2 linked regions of the Lytechinus pictus genome follow. The protein of the gene in region 1 purifies or fractionates together with the protein of each later gene. This does not show direct contact. Links are inferred from orthologs where the notes say so. Each region holds a gene or a part of one and is shown on either strand. Other genes may lie near its edges.

Evidence for each region.
Region 2: the proteins of probable E3 ubiquitin-protein ligase IRF2BPL (region 1) and transcription cofactor vestigial-like protein 4 purify together in Homo sapiens (affinity purification with mass spectrometry; 3 studies listed by BioGRID and IntAct, counting the BioPlex papers as one, with this or other methods). This does not show direct contact. The link is inferred for Lytechinus pictus from reciprocal best matches to the Homo sapiens genes IRF2BPL and VGLL4.

The regions. Positions count from the first base shown.
Region 1 is NC_087251.1:17,905,060-17,908,988, reverse strand, and holds the start of probable E3 ubiquitin-protein ligase IRF2BPL, read left to right. Parts: upstream 1-1,361; 5' UTR 1,362-1,832; coding exon 1,833-3,806; 3' UTR 3,807-3,929. UniProt on the Homo sapiens protein: Probable E3 ubiquitin protein ligase involved in the proteasome-mediated ubiquitin-dependent degradation of target proteins. Through the degradation of CTNNB1, functions downstream of FOXF2 to negatively regulate the Wnt signaling pathway.
Region 2 is NC_087247.1:40,157,054-40,160,982, reverse strand, and holds the start of transcription cofactor vestigial-like protein 4, read right to left. Parts: upstream 3,062-3,929; 5' UTR 2,613-3,061; coding exon 2,537-2,612; intron 1-2,536. UniProt on the Homo sapiens protein: May act as a specific coactivator for the mammalian TEFs.

The sequences.
Region 1 (3,929 bases):
TTCTGAACATTAGTTATTGTGACGTGACGTTCCCTTTATAGTACAATATGGAATACCGTTCTTATATTCATTCGCAATACTAATTACAGGGATAAATGAATTTTGCCTAATGGTAGAAAAGTATATTTCAACGTTATGCTTATTAATTTTAGTCAAAGACGAAATTCCAATTCAGAGTGATATAAACGAAATTTATAAGTCCAGATTATTTTGTTTAATCTGTTTTTGATTGGTGGATTATGTATGGCCGTGTGCGGGTGTGTAGGCTAAGTGGGGTGTAATGGTGTGTAATAATGTATGCTTCATTTATACAGGAGTAAATCGAGTAACAAAAAGTCTGGTGATTGGACAATTGAAAGAAATTGTATGATTCGCATGAGTATAAAGATGGAATAATGTGCATGTAATTCTAGGCTATTACAGCATACAATCTAATTTCATGTTTCGGCCTCATCATCATCGTTGAAAATGTTTTTTTCTCCCCACGACTGAGGATGGAGACGACCTCGTACTTGGTATATAGTCTATACTTTCTTGCAATTGATCCCTGGAGGCAGCGGATCTTTGCTAGTCTTGAGAGCGATATCCGTGGCGAAGTAAGCCCTGAGCGAAGAGATTATAGCTCTGGTTGAAGTTAAATCAAGTGTTGAGATCTTTTTAATGGAGTTTCATGTTTCGAGACTACCACATTTTTGGCGGCAGTTATTTCCGGATTCGATCGCGGAGCGGTGTCGGATGATGGAGTGATCGACACACTCGACGTTACCCGAGTCGACGAGTCGCAGATAGCGTTACGCGGTTCGATTGCTGGTTTTGCAAACTTACTATACCGCCGCCGCGGGCTTAATTCGTGAGCCAATCGCAAGATACAACGATTATATTTTCCCTCTCATTTTTAACTGCTGGGAGATTGATACTGCGAGACCTTTTCTCGAAAAGGGCTTTATAGTTTGCGAGGATTTCGTTACCCGTTGCTACGTGCCTCGGCTAGTATTGATTGGGTTTATGGAATAAGAAAGGTGAGATCCATTCTCAAACACGATTTTTTTTTCATCTGTTGTGATGCTGAGGCTCTGTTTTCCCTTTACAGAGAACCCTCCCCTTCACCTTATCCACTTTGTTCTTATACTTGTTTTGCCAATATATTTATTTTTTGTTAGGCAGTTTGATATGATTCATCCACACCTATCCAAAACCGATGATTATTCCGACAGCCCCACCCCAGAGAAGTGAGCAAGAACTTGCATTTAGCAGAAATACAGAGCTAGCCTGAAGAAAATGACTGTCTTTCAAACCCGCGATGTCGCCCACGCTCCAAAACATATTTAATAATAGCACGGCAGCGTTGAGGCCCCAGTCTTGGCGCTTCCTGTTGCTAATGAATCAGCCTGGGATTATTTTCCCCGGGCACCGCTCCGCCAGTGCGTGTGGGTACTATGATTGTACATTCCACTCCCATACGTCATCAGTATGCTTGAAATGTCATGCCAAGCATACACGGATAGTGCGCATGTGCAGTGTAGGGTGGTTGAGTCCTGTGTGTTTGCTCGGAGCGGTGACTGCTTTACGGACAAACGTGCCAGCCAGATTCAGAGCGAGCAGCAGACGACGCATACATTTCGTTCATAATACTGCCGCGAACTTTGACAAGCGTGAGAATTTGTTTTGCCTCGACGGAGTGAAGTCATGTCACATGCAGAGCTCCGCTGAAATTCTAATACTTTGTAGTCGTGAGTTGTCTGTGAACTGGATGAGTGACATTTTCTCCTCTACTGCTTTCTACATGTGATTATTTAGACACTTTGTCGTGGAGTAAAATATTATTTTGCTACATGTTGCTCTCTCAATCCCATCTCGCCATGCATCGACAGCATTGTTACCTGTGTGATCTACCTCGGGCACCATGGGCTTTGCTGCACGATTTCTCCGAGCCCGTTTGTCGTGGATGTGTGAATTACGAGGGTGCCGATCGCATCGAAAGTGTGATAGAAGGGGCTCGGCAGATGAAGAGAGCACACAGTTTCCAGGATACAAAATCTTACCAGGGACACAAGCCAGGACAGATACCATTGATGCCTCCTCAATCTGTGAGTGTACCACCCCGACCATCTGCACTGGAGAGTGCAAATGTAAATCACGTTGAACCTTCGCCAAGGAATCCACCTGGCTCCGTAACTACACAAATACATGGTGAGAGATTCGTCACTCACGAACCCAGCCGAGCCCGAAGTATTCATGATTTCTCTACAGCCCCAAAGTTTGGATTTCCATCCAGTGAAGATTCCTCTGCGGACGGAAAACTGCTGTGTCGGGGTTCGCTTACACCAGTATCTGCACCTCACATGGCGCCCAACCTCCTCCACCACCTCAACGCACCACCTGTTTCAAGTTCAGTGTTTACCCCAAGGCATACGGTAGCACCTTCTGCAACAGGGAAGACTGCACCACCAACAACCACGCCTGGTAGCGGAACTAAAAGGAGCCTCGCAGATCGCGATAGAGAGGATAAAGAAAGTTCAGCATCCTCACACTCTGATACTGAACGCCGTGTAACACCTGTGGTTGACGATCCCTATGGACAGAAGCCGAGTACTGTTCGGCAAACCTTGGCCACTCTGTCAACGTGTACACCTTTTGAAGTAAGATTTAAAAAGGATCATTCGTTACGAGGTCGCGTCTTTGCTTTTGATGCTGTGTATCGTCCTGGATTGGACTATGAAGTCAAAATATACATTGAATATCCCAGTGGCTCAGGACAGGTATACCCAAGTGCATCAGGGGTTGCCAAACAGATGTATCAGGACTGTGTCAAAGATATCGGTAAGAGCCTTTCTTCTGGTTATAAGTATCTTGAATATGAGAAAAAGCATGGTTCTAATGACTGGCGACCATTGAGTGATTTGCTTCCCGAATCTGTTCGTTATTTCAAGGATATGGTGAGCGTAGAAAGTTTGCCGCAACCTTACATTGATGCCGGTTGTCCAGTTTTACCTATCATGACATCAACCCATGCCTCACGCTCATTTACTCACAAGAACAAGAAATTGAAATCATCACCTGAACCTCCAGAAGGTGATCAAGGGAAGCTAACCGAGGAGCAACAACAGCGACAGCAGTGGATGCAGACCCAGGCTGAAGCTCTGAAACTGACCATGTCAGCAGGTGGGTTTAGTGGCTCTCGCCCACCGAGTACTGCTACGTCTCCCATGAGTAACCCTGCCTCAGCTGGTACACCTCCTGATGGTAGCTCATCCCACGGCGGTCCGTCCCCCATGGCGGCTCTTATGTCTGTTACTGACAATTTGGGCACACCAACCTCGCCAACCAACAAGAGTGATTCTGGATCAACCTCCATGCGGCCACCCAGCAACCCAGCGTCAGGATCCAGTGAGAAGTCACAACGTAGCCCCCACTCTCCAACCACTGCACAGAGAAGAGCTATGTATCGCAGTAAAGAGTTGTCACAGGCTACTGTTCCTCATGGCCAAGAGGCTAGTGTGACCTCGAACACCTCCAATCTACCTGACTCTTCTATGCACATGATTAACATCCTCAAATGTACTCTTTGCCATGAGCGTCTTGAAGACACACATTTTGTCCAGTGTCCGTCCGTTAGCAACCACAAATTCTGTTTCCCCTGCTCAAGGGACAGTATCAAAAAGCAGGGATCTGGGTCAGAAGTATACTGTCCCAGTGGAGCCAAATGTCCGTTAGCCGGTACCAATACTCCATGGGCCTTTATGCAGGGAGAAATCCTTACCATTCTCGGAGAAGAAGTTAAAGTTAAGAAAGAACGGGATTCGTAGACTTGCAAGAATATTCTTAACATTTAGAACAGAATGAGAATATGCTTTTTTATTCTTTTGAATAATTTTCTTTAAGAATCTCATGTTTTGATTGTATATAGTGCATCATATGTTGAAAATTGG
Region 2 (3,929 bases), on another chromosome or scaffold:
TGTTCACCATTGGAATATTTCACACAATGTACGCATGGTACACGACCTGAATCCAAGGTATTTAATTCATGTATGACTCACACGCTCACTATGATAGTAATGTCATCTCAACACCATACAAAAACCACACATTACATACATGTACATGTAAAGTAGGTAGTGTAATCAAGGAGTTCTATCCAAACTCCCTGGTGTAACTGAGCAAATTCTTCTGCTAAACGTTGTGCAGAGAGAACAAATGCCATGTCCATCTACACCCTCAAAATATTCAAGGATTACCCAGAGGAATCTATAATTTTCTCCCCTTCATCATACTGGTTTTTAGATTTCCACAATTAAGACAAGTAAAGCTACCAGAGCCCATCGGGAGGCATCATGATATATATATTTATTTATATTTTACAATTGGCTCCTTTTAATAACCCCAATATTCCTTCCCTTTAATCCATAGACCAATTATATATTAGTTCATCAAGTGCATGATCATCATCATTTTCTGGTTTTGTATGATCAAAATGGATGCATAATGCATTACAATAGTAAATGCAATGCAACAAAATATATCAAACACATATGGACCATTTCTAATACGAGATTTCAAAATAGTATACATGTGGCTTATAGTACAGTAAATATATTCATATATATTCAATACACCAGCAAACTAAAAAGCATGGTTGGTACTTGAATGTAAAATTTGAAATCCCTATGGTTGTGTGTACACTGTATGGTCGAGTGCAGATCAATCATTCTCAATCATTATCGCACATATTCTACATTGAGCAGTTGTAGAGTTTATCATTTGAGTTAAAATCTACAAGAGATGCTTATTTTGCGATTTTGTCTGGCAGACAGTATATATTCCATTTCATTCATGAAAATTTCTGTACATGTATGGTGCATGCAGAGTTAAAGCACACCCATACACATACATCAATAGACATGCAGACACACAAACTGTCATACACATTGCTCATGTAGCAGCATCCACCTATCATCCACTCTCCGCATCGGTATGCATCAATTATGAATCTCTTTTCTCTTATTTCTTGTTCCACCTCTCCAAGTTGCCATCTGACGAGGAGAGACAGACACATTGGCAACAGTGACGCTGAAAAAAAATGAGTCATCTTTTTCAATCATGAAAAAAGAGCTAATTTATGCATCTTATCTTCCAACTCCAGTAGCGAGAGTGAATGCATAGATAGTTAAAGCTAGGCACTTGTCTATTTCAATATATCTAAAACTCACATGTACACATGAAAATGTACATAACCATCCATTTTTACAATTATTTTAGTTTTGCCTGGAAGGCACTATATTTTGGGGCAACCAACTTCTTTCAAGTATATTAACATTCAAATTCTAGAAAATAAAAAGGAAATTTCAAATCCATTCCTGGATCCTGCAAAGTAGTACTCTGTAGACTGTTGTGGACAGGGGCTTGCCCCCATCCATTTTGGATTTGACACTCTTTTTGCCCCACTTGTTCTTGATTTCAAGAAAGTAGCCCTGGGCTAGTTTAAGGTCCAAAATAAACTATCTAGGCCCCGTCTTACAAAGAGTTATGATTGATCCAATCGATCGTAACTCTATGGAAATCCATCAGTGTCACAATTTTTTTCTTTAGGAAATTTGCACAATTTCCTTTGAAAACAAAGAGAAGCATACTGTATTATCAAGAAAACAGTTAATGTATGAATATATACTCATAACTAGAAAATATTTTGAAGAAACATGTATTTTAGGCGTTGTCGTTGCTGGCTTTCCATAGTTGGGATTGATTGGATCAATCGTAACTCTTTGTAAGATGGGGCCCAGAAGTAACAAAATCATAATTTTACTGAAAGAAATAAGGAAAGATGACACACACAAAAAAAAATCCCTGCTTAAATAATAATTAATATTCACATTTCACTCCCTACAAGTAAACTAGCTAGAGGCATATGTTTTGTCGAGTTGACACTAAATGACGTGGTGAACACCAGACGCATGCGCGATTAACTTTGTCCCCGTACCAGTTACATGTAACACTTTTTTTTTTTAGAAATCTGAGGAGCAATTTGCCCGTTAGCTTTTGAAGTTTTGTTTAGTGCCCTGCTGCAAAGCAAATCCTGAACACTGAACAATAAAATGCATAAAAACAATAACGCTGAGGTAATGATATCCATGTCCCTATTAAATTTGGAAGCAAATAGAGATGTGATATGCACTATACAAGAACCGTTTATTTATTATCGTAAGAATACATGCATTTGCTTGTTTGTAAATCAAGTTACTATAAGCTAATAATAAACAATTTTCAGTTATATTTAATAAACTTCTATGCAAAATACAATGAAAGAAATATAAATTTAAATATATTGACTCGATAAATGACATTTAAAAAAACCCAGAGTAAGTATTTCCACTATTTGAACCCATCAGCAACAACAATGTACATGTATGGGAATCTAGGACTACATGTATGTCTTTGTCGTCCCCTCTAGTCTCCCTATGAAAATAAGATAATTTAGTTGTCAAAGGGTTAACCTACCTGTTGGAGGAGATAAGTAGGGAAGATGGAAAGCATTGAAACATGTCAAGAATGGCGCATAGCTCATTGTTTCCATCTTGCCACTTCAAGAACAAAGGTGAGGTTTCTAGAAGATATAAAACACAAGGGCCAGAGATTGGCCAGGTCAACTGAACCCAAGATCTTGGTCTAAATGGTCTTTAACTTGTGGTCTGGATGATCCACAGCAAGTTGTGATGAAAGAATCACCACAGACTAGTTGCGAACAGGAGATACTCTTGGCTCCAGGAATATCAAAGTCACAACGTACACCCACAGAGATTGAAACAGGTCGCAGGAAGTGGATCCCTCAAAGAATTCAATCAAAAACACACTACCGACCATTCCATCAGCATCTTCTAGCACTGGCACACACTTGATCTGTGGTTCCGTCCCAAAGTTCTGATCCAACCACCACCGTTACTACTACCACTCATCAGTCTAACTAACCATGGCACTGAACATCCAATCAGGAGCCGGCATCTTCTGCGAGCATCCCTTGCAAGTAATGAAACAAAATTCTTACAGGCATCAACTTGTTTGATAGTCTTGGTTCCCCATACCGGTCTTTATCAGAAATGGATCATGGAGTATGGACTTGTAAAAAAAATGTAACAGAAAGTGGACCTCTAACATTAAATTTTGAATCAAAATGATTTGAAATGTTCAAAGGCGAGATACTGTTCAATAGGCTAATGATAGCATTAACCATCTTCATTATGAAAATAAAATTGTTATCAATATAAAACAATTTTTGTAATCTCATTTAGTACCAAAAAAGTTATTTATGTTATGGAGCTTGTTTAAACCTGACTGGATCAATTGCTGTTGCTCACTGGGAGTCAGTGCGCTACTTGAACTTGAAGATAAGGTAACATGAATATTATATGATTCTATGATTACAATAAAAACCGATGCTAAACCTTCTTCTTTGTTGAAGACTTCACTTATGCAGCCTTCTTACACAGACTAGAAAGATGAAATGGCAAAGCCTGGGAAGTGGAATCCACAGATGCCAGGGATTGCGACCAACCCCAAAATACCACTGCTTGCTCGCTTGTGCTCCCACCAGGCCTCCTGTGTAGTGACAACACTTGACCAGTTTTAACAAAACATTAGAACTGCAGAACTAAAATTGGTACCAGGAATGGCATTCCCCTTCCTAATCATGCAGGCATAAAACAAGTGAATGAAATATTAATATGGGTGCCGGAACACAAAGGTAAGCGATTAATCGCTTAATGAAGTGGCCTATCAAGATCATTATTGAATGCGCATTTTACTCAGTACACTGACAAAGAACCAATCAAAACTGTTCTTTCAAATTAGTGATTAATCGCTAACCTTTGTGTTACGGGCCCCTGATCCCTCTGGA